2 linked regions of the Elephas maximus indicus genome follow. The protein of the gene in region 1 purifies or fractionates together with the protein of each later gene. This does not show direct contact. Links are inferred from orthologs where the notes say so. Each region holds a gene or a part of one and is shown on either strand. Other genes may lie near its edges.

Region 1 (7,311 bases):
CTAGCACCAGGCTGATTGGCTGTAATCTTGACAGGAGCAGATAGCCAGGATTTTCTCTCGCAGCCGTTGGTGGGTTTCAACTGCCCACCTTTTGGTTAGCAGCCAAGTGCTTAACCATTACACCACCAGGGCACCGTTAGATTAGCTATGCAAGGCCCAAATCTAGCTTTCCAATAACTAATGACTTTTTGGAACTGAATCTACTATCATTTCTATTTAATGCAACCACCACCATAAGTGGTTTTAGGAACACTAGGGTCCTAATGAGTAAGTTTACTAGTAAGTTTACTCACTGCCTATTCTGAGCAAATAAGAAAAGAACAACACTCTGTAGATAAGCAAAGATTTCACAGATGGCTTGCTACCATTAAAGACTTAAATAACAACTTTATGCGTTCAAATGTAAGTTTATTAAGAAAAAGAACTGATTATAACATTATCTAATGTTAAGAATATTTTCTCACTAATTTGCAAAAAACTAGAAAAAAGATCCAATCAAAAGATCCCATTATTTCATTTTCTAACAGCCATCATAAGCCACCTGCTTTTGCATTTGTTCACCTATATACTCAGACTGTGTAGTCTAGGGCATTCTGCATATACTTCAGTAACTAAGGCCCAAACCAAAAACCAAACCAAACCCACTGCCGCTGAGTCGACTGGAGCAGAATTTCCAAGGAGGAGCTGGTGGACTTGAACTGCTGGCTTTTTGGTTAGCAGCTGAGCTCTTAACCAAGGCTCCAACTAAAGCCAAAAGAAACACTTATTTTTCAAAACCAACTTTTATGTGCAGATATCTGCACCTTACTTTGAAATGCAGAAAAAAAGATGCATGGAGGGATGATTAAATGTGTGATAAAACAAGGAGGGTAAAATGCTGGTTATAGAATCTAGCTGGCAGACATATGGGTGTTCACTGTAAAGCCCTTTCAACTTTTCTTATGTTTGAAAATTTTATAATAAAATGTTGAGGAAAAAAAAATCAACTTTTAGAAGTTTTGATAGAACTTTTAGTTCAAAGAAGTCCTAACAATACAAGGACAAAATTTTACCCTATTTGGATATTTTTACTGTCATAAAGGAGGAGGATTCAAAGACACTGCACAGAAATAATGCCAATGTCTTAGGACTCTACAGAGCAGAATGGACTGAGATTAAGTTGTTCTCCCGAATATACAAATATGTGGGTATCTGAATCATGCCAATTCCCAAATAATTCAGAAATATATGAATATTTAAACAGGTCACAACTGTATGTATGTACACATATGTCAAAATAACATATAAAATGTATACTTTATTGAGTATACAAAATGTATTTTTACAAAATCTGTACAAAATTGTATGCTCAATACCTACGGCTTTACCATTCCTCAGTTATTGGTGAATTAAAACTACTAAGTTCCAATGACCTTTTAACAAGCAAGGTTTTTATACAGATTATCTATATTTGATTTATATAATACAAGGCTTTAACTTTGCTATTAAAAGTATATGCTCTAAAACGCACTACAAATACTTCCAGTGCGTAAAAGGAAAAGGAGTTTAAAAATCACTGTCTGGATACTAAGCCTCCTAGTAGAATTGAAAAAAAAAAAAAAAAAGTTTTTGGATATTTTGTGTGTAACACAAAAGTTCTATGAATCAAACCTTTCAGTGGTTTAAAACCCAAGCATGAATCCCAACACCACCCAGGTTTTCACCTAAAAAATTGTTGATAGCACTTACTATGAATAGCACCAAATTATACTGCCATCCTCAAGGAGTTAGGAAGATGCTTTAAAGCAAATTATTAATCTATTGGCAAAAAAAGAATTAAAAAAAAAAAAAAAAGAACGCCCTTTAAAAGACTGAAAGGCATAAGGTGCCCTAAAAAATTCTTCAGTAGCTTGTTTGGAACAGACTAATTTCTTCTACTTCATCAATGTCCACAAATCAGTAGTGATAAAGCAAGATTCAGTGGAATCAACATTGTCGTGTTTTGTCCTATTCTCACCTGCATTAATTTTTTCCATCTCTACAATGGATGAGAGCACAAAGATAATGCAACTAAAGGCTATGTAACAGGTCTCAGCGTAAGGCCCACCCAGCCCTTTACCCCTTGTCCTGTGAGACATCTAATCAATCATAAGCCACGTACATATTTTCTTCACCTGAACAATAAATGCCTTGAAGACAGAAATCCTGTCTTCCGGTAACTGACTGACATTTCCCCAGCGTACGCTCAGTCACAAAGACAAATGGATACAAGCAGGTTCTATAAAAGTGGTCGAAGTTTTCAGGAGCCCTAACCAAAAACCAAACCCAACCCAGTGCCGTCGAGTCGATTCCGACTCACAGGATCCTACAAATTAGTGTTAGAAGTTACTCCTCCCCGGTCTATGCCATTTCCCCCAATCGGACAAACCAAAGTCCTGAACACCAACCCATTTGTATTTCTACATCAATGGCCTATCAAACACCAGGGATGAGAGACAAGCTGAACACAGAAGGAAGAGAAGCCCCCTCAGGAGAGGCCTATGCTGCTGAGCCGAAGCGTCCACGGAAGCGACCCGGCAGTAGCGCCGAAGTCCGCAGCGCAGAGCCCAGAGGACATCGACGACAAGGTCCTCGCAGAGCCAAGACCCTGCCCCGTCCGAGCTGCCGGGTCTAGAGAAGAGTCCAGCCGGTTGGGGTGTGGGGAGGGTGCGACCACAGAGGGACTGGCGTCAACTCCCTCGGGCCTCCCGGAGGCCAAGAGCGGGGGTAGGCCACACCGCTGCCCGAGCCCGAGGAGGGCGCCTGGCTCGAGGCCCTAGGGGCGCGGCTCCTCTGGTCCCCGTACCAGCCCGGCCGGCAGTGAGAGGGGGCGAGTGAGGCCCAGACCCCGAGAGTTCGAGCCCGGCTTGGGTCTTACCATGGTGACGGCGGTGGTGGGGCGCACCCACGCTCCGGCTGCACTGGGCAGAGGGCTGGGGTTAGGGGAAGGGGAGCACCGGCCGCTCCGGACCTGCCGCCCCCCTGACAGGAGCCGCCGCCGCTTCGCTTCTTGCCAAGATGGCGGTCCCGAGCCACGTCTCCAACCGGAAACGGCGCGGGTCAAAGGACGGAGGGCGGGGCTTGGTGGGGTGGGGAAATTGAGGATACCCGGCTGCAAGCCCCACGCGCAGGTTACGTCCCGGCTCGCCTGCAGACGTGGAACTTGCATACATCTGTCTTTTCACTGTTTGTTATCGCCTCAGTTTGAGTCACCTCTGAAACATTTTATAAAGCCGCTCTCATAGACACTATATAATTTAATATTCAAAATAACCCATGTGCACAAGGCGCTAGTATCCAAAATATATAAAGAATTCTTATAACTCAACAATAAAAAGACAACACAATTTAAAAATGGGCAAAAGGTTTGAAGAGACATTTCTTCAAAGAAGAGATACAAATGGCCAATAAGCACATGAAAAGGTGCTCCATATCTATAGTCATTAGTGAAATGTACATCAAAACCACAACTAGCTATGACTTCACCCCTACTAGAATGGTTACATTAAGAAAGATGGACAATAGCAAGTGTTGTGGAGGATATGGAGAAATTAAAATCCTCCTACAATGATGGCTTTGAATTATTATGTAGGCAAAGAATATTGAATGTACCATGGATTGCCAGAAGAACAAACAAATCTGTCTTGGAAGAAGTACAGCCAGAATGCTCCTTAGGAGCAAAGATGGCAAGACTTTGTCTCACGTACTTTGGACATGTTATCAGGAGGGACCAGTCCCTGGAGAAGGACATCATGCTTGGTAAAATAAACCAAAACCCATTGCCATCGAGTTGATTCTGACTCATAGTGACCGTATGGTAAAGTAGAGGGTCAGTGCTGAATGATATGGAGTGACACAGTGGCTACAACAATGGACTCAAACATAGCAACAATTGTGAGGGTGGAGCAGGACTGGGCAGTGTTTCCTTCTCTTGTATGTAGGGTCAGTCTGAGTTCGAATCAACCCCACAGCACCTAACAACAACACCACCACACATTGCTAGTTGGAATATAAAATAGGGTAGCTGCTTTGGAAAACAGGTCCTCAAAAAGTTAAACAGAGTTACCATGTGATCCAGCAATTCCATCATATGTCCACACAAAAATTTGTACACTAATGTTCATGGCATCATATAGCCCAAAAGTGGAAAACCCCAAATGTCCATTAACTGATAATTGGGTAAAAAAAGTGACATATCCATACAATGGAATATTATTCAGCCGCAAAAAGGTATGAAGTACTGATACATGCTACAGCATGGCTGAACTTTGGAAATATACTGAGTAAAAAAAGCCAGGCACAAAATAGCCACTTATTGTATGATTCCATTTGTATGACATGTCCAGAATAAACAAATTCATAGAGACAGAAAGTAGATTAGTGGTTGCAAGAGGTGGGAGTGAGGTGAGATGGGGGTGGAGACTGGGAATTAATGCTGATGGGTACAAGATTTGAATGAAAATGTCCCAGAATTAGGTAACAGATGGCGGCTGCACAACCTTGCCAAATATACTAAAAATCATTGAATTGTACGCTTTAAAATGGTGAGGTTTTTCTTGTGTGTGTGCGTGTGCTTTAGGTGAAAGTTTATAGAGCGAATTAATTTCTCATTTGTTTTGTGACATTGGTGGCCAACCCCAAGATGTACCAACACTCTCCGCTTCTCCATCCTGGGTTCCCCATTTCCATTCATCCAATTTTCCGGTCCCTTCCTGCCCTCTGTCTTTGTTTTTGGGCTGGTGTGCGCATTTAGTCTGGTACATGTGATTGAACAGAACAAGAGGATACTGATCGGTTTAAAGTCAGGAAAGGTGTGCGTCAGGGTTGTATTCTTTCACCACACCTATTTAATCTGTGTGCTGAACAAATAATACGAGAAGCTGGACTATATGAAGAAGAACGGGGCATCAGGATTGGAGGAAGACTCATTAACAACCTGCGTTATGCAGGTGACACAACCTTGATTGCTGAAAGTGAAGAGGACCTGAAGCACTTACTAATGAAGATCAAAGACCACAGCCTTCAGTATGGATTACACCTCAACATAAAGAAAACAAAAATCCTCACAACTGGGCCAATGAGTAACATCGTGATAAATGGAGAAAAGATTGAAGTTGTCAAGGATTTCATTTTACTTGGATCCACAATCAGCAGCCATGGAAGCAGCAGTCAAGAAATCAAAGGACACATTGCATTGGGTAAATCTGCTGCAAAGGACCTCTTCAAAGTGTTGAAGAGCAAAGATGTCACCCTGAAGACTAAGGTGCGCCTGACCCAAGCCATGGTATTTTCGATGGCATCACATGCATGTGAAAGCTGGACAACGAATAAGGAAGACCGAAGAAGAGTTGACGCTTTTGAATTGTGGTGTTGGCGAAGAGTATTGAATACACCATGGACTGCCAAAAGAACGAACAAATCTGTCTTGAAAGAAGTGTGGCCAGAATGCTCCTTAGAAGCAAGGATGGCGAGACTGCGTTTTACATACTTTGGACATGTTGTCAGGAGGGATCAGTCCCTGAAGAAGGACACAATGCTTGGCAGAGTACAGGGTCCGCAGAAAAGAGGAGGACCCTCAACGAGGTGGATTGACACAGTGGCTGCAACAACGAGCTCAAGCATAACAACGATTTTGAGGATGGCGCAGGACCGGGCAGTGTTTCGTTCTGTTGTGCATAGGGTTGCTATGAGTCGGAACCGACTGGGCGGCACCTAACAACAACAATGTGATTGTACTACGAAGCACTTTCCTCGAATGTGTTATTGTTTACTCTATAAACCAAACCTGTTGTCACTGAGTCGATTCCAACGCCTAGTAACCCTAAGGACAGAGTAGAACTGCCCCATAGGGTTTCCAAGGAGCACCTGGTGGATTCGAACTGCTGACCTTTTGGTTAGCAGCAGTAGCTCTTAACCACTATGCCACCAGAGCTGAAAGGTGAACCTCAGGAGTGACTTCAGTACTGGGTTAAAAAGGTGTCAGAGGCCATAGTCTCAGGGGGTTCGCCAGTCTCTGTCAGACCAGCAAATCTGGTCTTTTTTGTGAATTTGAATTTTGTTCTACATTCTTCTCCTTCTCTATCCAGGACACTCTATTGTGATCCCTGTCAGAGTAGTCTGTGGTGGTAGCTGGGTACCATCTAGTAGTTCTGGGCTTAGTTTGCTGGAGGTTATGGTAGTTGTTGTCCATTAGTCCTTTGTACTAATCTTTCCCTGTGTCTTCAGTTTTCTTCATTCTCCATTGCTCCAGCCAAGATGGAACCAATAGATGTATCTTTCATGGCCGCTTGCAGTCTTTTAAGACCCCAGACACTTCTCACCACAGTCAGATGTAAACATTTTCTTTATAAACTATGTTATGCCAATTGAGCTAGATGTCCCCTGAGACTATGGTCCCCACCCTCAGCCCAGTAACTTGGTCCCTCAGAGAGTTTGGATGTATCTGTGAAGCTTCTATGTCTTTGCCTTGGTCAAGTTGTACTGACTTCCCCAGTATTGCGTACTGTTTTACCCTTCCCCAAAGTTACCACTTATCTATTATCTAGTCAGTGTTTTTCCCTCCCCACCTCTCCCCTCCCTCAGAACCATCAAAGATTGTTTTGTTTGTTTTTTTCTGCACGTAAACCTTTTCTTGAGTTTTTATAATAGTGGTCTTCTACAATATTTGTCCTTTTGTGATTGACTTATTTCAGTCAGCTTAATGCCCTCCAGATTCATCCATGTTATGAAATGTTTCGAGGATTCATCATTGTTCTTTATCATTGGGTAGTACTCCATTGTGTGTATGTACCATAATTTGTTCACTCATCCATTGATGGGCATTTAGGTTGTTTTCATCTGTTTGTTATTGTGAAAATGCTGCAATGAACATGGGTGTGCATAGTCATGTGACAGCTCTTATTTCTCTAGGATATATTCCTAGGAGTAGAACTTCTGGATCATACAGTATCTCTATTTATAGCCTTTTAGTGAGGTGCCCTATCATTTTCCATAGTGGTTGTACCATTTTACATTCCTACTAGCAGTGCGTAAGAGTTGAAGTCTCCCCAAAACCTCTCCAACATTTGTTATTTTCTGTTTTTTTTTTTTTTTAAATTAGTGCCAGTAATGTCGGGGTGAGATAGTATCTCATTTCAGTTTTGATTTGTATTTCTCTGATGGCTACTGATCTCGAGCATTCCCTCCTGTGTCTGTTACTCACCTGAATGTCTTCTGTGGTGAAGTGTCTGTTCATATTCTTTGCCCATTTTTTACATTGGGTTATTAGTCTGTTTTCTTTTTTTTTAGATGAAG
Region 2 (7,971 bases), on another chromosome or scaffold:
GGAAAGTGTGGCTCAGAGACGTATAGGCACTTGCCCAGGTGAATATGGCTGGTTAACTCACACTCAGGGGGCTCACCTGGTGGGTGTCAGAACAAGGCAGAAGATGCCATAGGGATCCTCAGATAGCTTCTGCAAGATCGGCAGGACGAACGCCGCTGTCTTGCCGCTGCCAGTCTTGGCACAGCCCAGGCAGTCCCGACCTGGCAGAGGACAGAGCAGCATCAACACCTCCAGAGGGAGAACAAAGGTTCCATCGGGCACAGTTCACAACAGCTCAGGCTGAATGGAAGTCCCTGGGTGGTGCAAAAGATGAACGCTTTCGGCTGCTAACCGAAATGTCGGCAGTCTGAGTCTACCCAGAGGCACCTCAGAAAAAAGTCCTGGTGATCTACCTCCGAAAAATCAGCCACTGAAAATTCTACAAAGCTCAGATCTACTCTGACATACAGGTGGTCGCCATGACTCAGGGCCAACTCCAAAGCAATTTTCTTTTACTGAAACATTTAACAAGCAACACCTGGTCTATGCCTTTACATCTGAGCCCTAACGACAATAAACCTACAACAGAAACACCATTACCATCCTCACTTAACAAAAGGGGAAACTGAGTCTTGGAGACTTGCCCGGGACATGCAGCTGGTGACTAGCAGGGCTGGACTGGAAGCCACATCCACCTGACCCGAGACGCCATGCTGCTCACCACCACCTTATACTGGTTCCCTCCCAGACCTGGGATTCCCTCCTCTAATCTGCATTCTTCCCCACGTGTCTGTCAGTTCGTCATAGTGTGGGGGCTTGCGTGTTGCCGTGATGCTGGAAGCTGTGCCACAAGTATTCAGACACCAGCAGGGTCACCCATGGTGGACAGGTTTCAGCTGAGCTTACAGACTAAAACAGACAAGGCAGAAGGACCTGGCGGTCTACTTCTGGAAAGAATTAGCCAGTGAAAAACCTTACGAATAGCAGCGGAACACTGTCTGATAATAGTGCCGGAAGATGAGCCCCTCAGGTTGGAAGGCATTCAAAAGATGACTGGGGAAGAGCTGCCTCCTCAAAGTAGAGTTGACCTTAATTACAGGCATGGAGTCAAGCTTTCAGGACTTTCATTTGCTGATGTGATAATATCCTAGTTGTTAGCGAGCTGAAATGGACTGGTATTGGCCATTTTCAATCAAACAATCATACAGTCTAATATGCCGGGAATGACAAGTTGAAGAGAAATGGCATTGCGTTCATCGTCAAAAAGAACACTGCGAGATCTATCCCGAAATACAACACTGATAGGATAACATCCATACGCCTACAAGGAAAACCAGTTAATACGACTGTTTTTCAAATTTACGTACCAACCACTAAGGCCAAAGATGAAGAAACTGAAGATTTTTACCAGCTTCTGCAGTCTGATATTGATTGAACGTGCCATCAGGATGTACCGATAATCACTGCTGATTGGAACGCAAAAGTTGGGAACAAAGAAGAATGATCAGTAGTTGGAAAATATGGCCTTGGTGACAGAAACGATGCTGGAGATCGCATGACAGAATCTTCCAAGATTAATGACTTTCTCATTGCAAATACCTTTTCTCAACAATATAAATGGCAACTATACACGCGGACCTCGTCACATAGAATACACAAGAATCAAACTGACTACATGTGTGGAAAGAGAAGATGGAAAAGCTCAATGTCATCAGTCAGGACAAGGCCATGGGCTGACTGCAGGACAAACCATCATCAATCGCTCATATGCAGGTTCAAGCTGAAACTGAAGAAAATTAGAACAAGTCCACGAGAGCCAAATTATGATCTTGAGTATGCCACACCTGAATTAAGAGATCACCTCAAGAACAGCTTTGATGCATTGAACACTAATGACTAAACACAAGAGGAGTAGTGGAATGACATCAAGGACATCATACATGAAGAAAGCAAGAGGACACTGAAAGATTAGAAAGAAAGGAAAGATTAAAATGGATGTAAGAAGAGGCTCTGCAACTTGTTCTTGACTTTGAGTAGCTAAAGCAAAAGGGAAAATGATAAAATAAAAAAACTGAACAGAAGATTTCAAAGGGCAACTCAAGAAAACAAAGTACTACAATGACATGTGCAAAGACCTAGAGGTAGAAAACCAAAATGGAAGAACACATCTGGCATTTCTCAAAGCTGAAAGAACTGAAGAAAAAATTCAAACCTCAATTTGCAATATTGAAGGATTCTACGGGGAAAATATTAAACGATGCAGTAAGTATCAAAACAAGATGGAAAGAATATACAGAGTCACTATACCAAAAAGAACTGATCTATGTTCAACCGTTTCAGGAGGCAGCATGTGATCAGGAACCGACGGTACTGAAGGAAGAAGTCCAAGGTGCTCTGAAGGCATTGGCGAAAAAACAAGGCTCCAGGTATTGAAGGAACACCAATTGAGATGTTTCAACAAATAGATGCAGTGCTAGAAGTGCTTACTCATCCATGCCAACAAATTTGAAAGACAGGTACCTGGTCAATAGACTGGAAGAGATCTGTATTTATGCCTATTCCCAAGAAAGGTGATCCAATCAAATGTGGAAATTATTGAAAAACATCATTAATATCACATTCAAGTAAAATTTTGCTGAAGATAATTTAAAAGCGGCTGCAGCAGTATATCAAAAGGGAACTGCCAGAAATTCAAGCCAGATTCAAAAGAGGACATCAAATGAAGGATATCGTTGCTGATGTCAGGTGGATCCTGGATGAAAGCAGAGAATACCGAAAAATATTTACCTGTGTTTTACTGATTATGCAAAGGCATTCCACTGTGTGGATCATAACAAACTATGGATAACACTGCAAAGAATGGGAATTCCAGGACACTTAATTGTGCTCACGAGGAACCTGTACATAGATCAAGAAGCAGTCACTCGAACAGAACAAGGGGATCCTGGGTAATTTAAAGTCAGGAAAAGTGTACGTTAGGGTCGTATCCTTTCACTATGCTTATTCAATCTGTCTGCTGGGCAAACAATCCAAGAAGCTGGGTTATATGAAGAATGGGGCGTGAGGATTGGAAGAATAGTCATTCACAGCCTCTGATGTGCAAAGGACATAACCTTGCTTGCTGACAGTGAAGAGAACTTGAAGCACTTACCGATGAAGGTCAAAGACCACAACCTTCAGTATGGATTACACCTCAACATAAAGAGAAAAAAAATCCTCCCAACTAAACACGAAACAATAAATGTTGGAGAGGCTGTGGAGAGACTAGAACACTTATACACTGCTAGTGAGAATCTAAATTGCTACAACCACTTTGGAAATCGATTTGGCGCTTCCTTAAAAAGCTAGAAATAGAACTACCATACGATCCAGCAATCCCACTTGGATTATATCCCACTTGGAATATATCCTAGAGAAATAAAAGCCTTCACACAAACAAATACATGCACACCCATGTTCACTGCAGCGCTGTTTACAATAGCAAAAAGATGGAAACAACCAAGGTGCCCATCAACGGATGAATAGATAAATTATGGTATATCCACACAACAGAGTACTACACGTTGATAAAGAACAGTGATGAATCTGTGAAACATTTCATAACATGGAGGAACCTGGAAGGCATTATGCTGAGTGAAATTAGTCAGTTGCAAAAGGACAAGTATTGTATAAGACCACTATTGTAAGAACTCAAGAAATAGTTTAAACAGAGAAGAAAATATTCTTTGATGATTATGAGAAGGGGGAGGGAAGAAAAGGGGTATTCACTAATTAGACAGTAGATAAAAACTTCTTTAGGTGACGGGAAAGACAACATATAATACAGGCGAGGTCAGCACAACTGGACTAAACGAAAAGCAAAGAAGTTTCCAGAATGAGCTGAATGCTTCGAAGGCCAGCGTAGCAGGGGCGGGGGTTTGGGGACCATGGTTTCAGGGGACATCTAAGTCAACTGGCATAATAAAATCTATTAAGAAAACATTCTGCATCCCACCTTGGAGAGAGGCATCTGGGGTCTTAAATGCTAGCAAGCGGCCATCCAAGATACATCAATTGGTCTCAACCCACCTGGATCAAAGGAGAATGAAGAACACCAAGGACGCAAAGTAATTACGAACCTAAGAGACAGAAAGGGCCACATAAACCAGAGACTACATCAGCCTGAGACCAGAAGAGCTAGATGGTGCCTGGCTACAACCGATGACTGCCCTGACAGGGAACACAACAGAGAACCCCTGAGGGAGGAGGAGAGTAGTGGGATGCAGACCCCAAATACTTGTAAAAAGACCAGACTTAATGGTCAACCTTCCCTGTGCTCTGAGACTATGCAACTTTAGAGGTTACGTCACGTCTCTGCGGACGCAAGGTCCGCCACGCGGTCTGAAAGCCAACACCGCCCTGTCCACCTCCGAAGCCCAGACTCGCCCGGAACGCCCAAGACTGCGCCTCACCTCGCGGAACCAGCGTGGACAAAGGCCGCGAGAAGGGAAGAGAGGGGGAGAAAAGCGGAGACACCTCCTGGGAAAGCGGCCGGCACACTCACCCTCCAGGATGGCGGGGATGCAGCCGAGCTGCACGGGCGTAGGCTGCTTCAGACCCAACTGCCGACATTGTTCCACTAGCCACGATGACAGCCCGAGCTCCGCGAAACACGGCATCCTCTTCCCCAGTCGCGGGGTGGTAATGAGCCGCGTTTCCGGTGCGCGCCGATGACGTCACGAAAGCCTTTTCGTTCATAGTGACTAGCCCCCTCCGCCAATCCCCCCCTTCGTCCGCTGCCTCATGCGTTCCCCAAGATGCAGTGCGGGACAGGCTTGCACTCCGCCCCCTGACTCGTATCTATGAGCTTCCCATTGGTTCATCTCCCTGTCACCTGGAGCAAGTAAACTACATTTCCCGGCATGCTCCGCGGCGGTCCCTGATTTCGGCCGACGTGTCCCTCCGGAAAGGGAAGTGGGTGAGACGACAGCAACATGGCGCCTCCGGCCCCCGGTCCGGTCACTGGCGGCTCCGGGGAAGTGGACGAGCTGTTCGACGTGAAGAACGCCTTCTACATCGGCAGCTACCAGCAGTGCATCAACGAGGCGCAGCGGGTGAAGGTGCGGCTGTGCCGAGGCTGGGGGACTCTGGGGGCGGAGGTGCCGGCAGCTTCTTGTGGTCACAGTCAGCTGCTAAATACTCTCCCTTTTCTCGCAGCATATTCCCTGCGCTCACCTCTTAAGAGCGCGGCAAGGAATTAACATTGTCTTATTCCAAAGTCTAAATCTGTAACAGCTTTGTTTATAAAGGGCTCGCTCTGCGCCCGGGAATGTATTCGAGTGAGGGAGGTAGTTATTCCACTTTATAATAATATGATGATGATGATAAGTCCCACTTGTCGAGCGCACACTGTGCCCGCCGTACTCTCCGTCCCCGTGAAGAGGGGACTGCTCTTTATCTTTATTTCGCAGACAAGCACTTCAAGGCTCGGAGAGAGGGTCGCTTCCCCAAATAATTACTTTGCCTGCTAGCTCAGTTGTTTCTGCCAAAACTCATTCATTCATTCAATAAAGTACTCATTGTACTTATTGAGGATTAGAACGGGCCATGGAATGTGTTCTTGCAGTACTCGGGACAATAACCCAAATAGACAAAGATCCCAGCTCTCTTGGAAATCTCAGCCTAGCAGAAAAGACAGACGGAAAAGAAGAAACACGAAGTGAGGAAGTGGCAAGAGAGTGGTGTGAAGGAGAGTGGTGGGCGTGAGCTTGGATATTTATTATTGTTACCCAGTCGGCCCTGGCTCTGTGTATAACAGAATGAAATGTTGCCCTGCCCTGCACCATCTTCGTGGTCTGTAGTGTGCTGGAGTGCATTGTTGCAGCCACTGTGCATTTTGAATGCCTTCCAACCCAGATGGCTCATCTTCCAGCACTGTATCAGACAGTGGTTTATTGTAATCCATAGAGTTTTCATTGGCTGGTTTTCAGAACCAAGGGGTTCTTCCTGGCCTTCCTTATTCTGGAAGCTCCACTGAACCATTCCACCCTGCTGATACTTGAAATACCAGTAGCATAGCTTCCAGCATCACAACAACACATAAGCCACCACAGTAGGACACACTGACACACGGGTGGTGGTTGGCTGTTTAAGAGCTAGAAAATCATTCAGCATGGCAAGACCCAGCGAGTGAAGCAGGTAAAAGGAGAGGAGCGGCAGGGCCTTTTAGGAAGGTGTGTAGACTTCGCTGTGATTTTGAGGGCAAGCCTTTAAAGCAGAGTGAACATGGCAGTGGCCTTGCCCCACCTTCACTGTCTCAGGTCCCAAAAATGGTGAGTGAAGAAGGTTTGGATACATAATTACGGCCTGTGATTAGTGCTATTTGTAGTCCTGTTGCTGAAAATCTTCAATTTCTTCGTCTGTGGCCTTAGTGGTTGCTGTGTAAGTTTGAAGAATAGTTGTATTAACTGGTCTTTCCTGTAGATTTATGGGTGTTATCCTATCAATGATAGTGCTGTACCTCAGGGTAGATCTTGAGATGTTCTTTTTGACAATGAATGTGATGCCATTTCTCTTCAAGCTGTCATTCCGGCATGTCGTTGTTGTTGTTAGGTGCCGTCGAGTCGGTTCCAACTCAATAGCGACCCTATGCACCACAGAACGAGACACTGCCGGTTTATGTCGTTGTTATGCTTGAGCTCATTGTTGCAGCCACTGTGTCAGTCCACCTCATTGAGGGTCTTCCTCTTTTACGTTGACCCTGTACTTTGCCAGCCATGATGTCCTTCTCCAGGGACTGATCCCTCTTGACAACGTATCTAAAATGTGTAAGGCGCAGTCTTGCCATCCTTGCTTCTAATGTGCATCCTGGTTGCACTTCTTCCAATACAGATTTGTTCGTTCTTTTGGCAGTCTGGCATAGTAGACCATAATTGTCTGATTCAAAACGGCCATACGTGTTTCTGTTTCTTTCTTTTTTTTTTTTTTTGAGCTTTAGGTGGAGGTTTACAGAACAAACTAGCTACTGTTAAACAGTGTACATATTGTTTTACGATATTGCTTAATAACTCCACAACCCGTCAATACTCCCTTTTCGACCTTGGGTTCCCTATTACCAGCTTTCCTGTCTCTTCCTGCCTTCTAGTCCTTGCCCCTGGGCTGGTGTGCCTCTTTGTTTTGTTTTATGGGCCTGTCTAATCTTTGGCTGAAGGGTGAACCTGAACAGTGACTTCATTACTTGTCCAGGGGCCATATCCTCAGGGTTTCTCCAGTCTTTGTCAGACCAGTAAGTCTGGGTTTTTTTTGTGTGAGTTAGAATTTTCTACTTTTTTCTCCGGCTCTGTCCGAGACCCTCTATTGTGATCCCTGCCAGAGCAGTCGGTGGTGGTAGCCAGGTACCATCTAGTTGTACTAGATTCAGTCTGGTGGAAGCCACGGTAGCTGTGATCCATTAGTCCCATTTCTTTTTGATGACTTCCAAGTTTTCTAGATTCATACTTTGTACATTCCATGTCTCGATTGTTAATGGATGTTTGTAGCTGTTTTTTCTCATTTTGAGAGAGGTCCTGTTTCCCGTGGGAGTGGTCCTGTCTCCCCAGGCCTTCTGGACAGTATGGTCAGAACCTGAGACTGACCCTTTTTTTTTTTTTTTTTAATTTTTATTGTGCTTTAAGTGAAAGTTTATAAATCAAGTCAGTCTCTCATACAAAAATTCATATATGCCATGTTATATACTCCTAACTGCTCTCCCCCTGATGAGGCAGCACACTCCTTCCCTCTGCTCTCTCTTTTTGTGTCCATTCTGCCAGCTTTTGACCCCCTCTGCCCTCTCATCCCGCCTCCAGACAGGGATGCCATAGTCCCATATGTCTACTTGATCCAAGAAGCTCATTCTTCACCAGCATCATTTTCTATCCTGCTGTCCAGTCCAATCCCTGTCTGAAGAGTTGGCTTTGGGGATGGTTCCTGCCCTGGGCTAACAGAAGGCCTGGGGACCATGACCACCAGGGTCTC

Evidence for each region.
Region 2: the proteins of ARCN1 (region 1) and COPE purify together in Homo sapiens (affinity purification with mass spectrometry; 4 studies listed by BioGRID and IntAct, with this or other methods). This does not show direct contact. The link is inferred for Elephas maximus indicus from reciprocal best matches to the Homo sapiens genes ARCN1 and COPE.

Annotation. Positions count from the first base shown.
Region 1 is NC_064835.1:11,060,694-11,068,004, reverse strand, and holds the start of ARCN1 (coatomer subunit delta), read right to left. Parts: upstream 3,065-7,311; 5' UTR 2,900-3,064; coding exon 2,897-2,899; intron 1-2,896. UniProt on the Homo sapiens protein: Component of the coatomer, a cytosolic protein complex that binds to dilysine motifs and reversibly associates with Golgi non-clathrin-coated vesicles, which further mediate biosynthetic protein transport from the ER, via the Golgi up to the trans Golgi network.
Region 2 is NC_064821.1:38,773,967-38,781,937, reverse strand, and holds the start of COPE (coatomer subunit epsilon), read left to right. Parts: upstream 1-4,917; 5' UTR 4,918-4,952; coding exon 4,953-5,078; intron 5,079-7,971. Other genes in the region: probable ATP-dependent RNA helicase DDX49, read right to left, coding at 77-200, 4,523-4,637. UniProt on the Homo sapiens protein: The coatomer is a cytosolic protein complex that binds to dilysine motifs and reversibly associates with Golgi non-clathrin-coated vesicles, which further mediate biosynthetic protein transport from the ER, via the Golgi up to the trans Golgi network.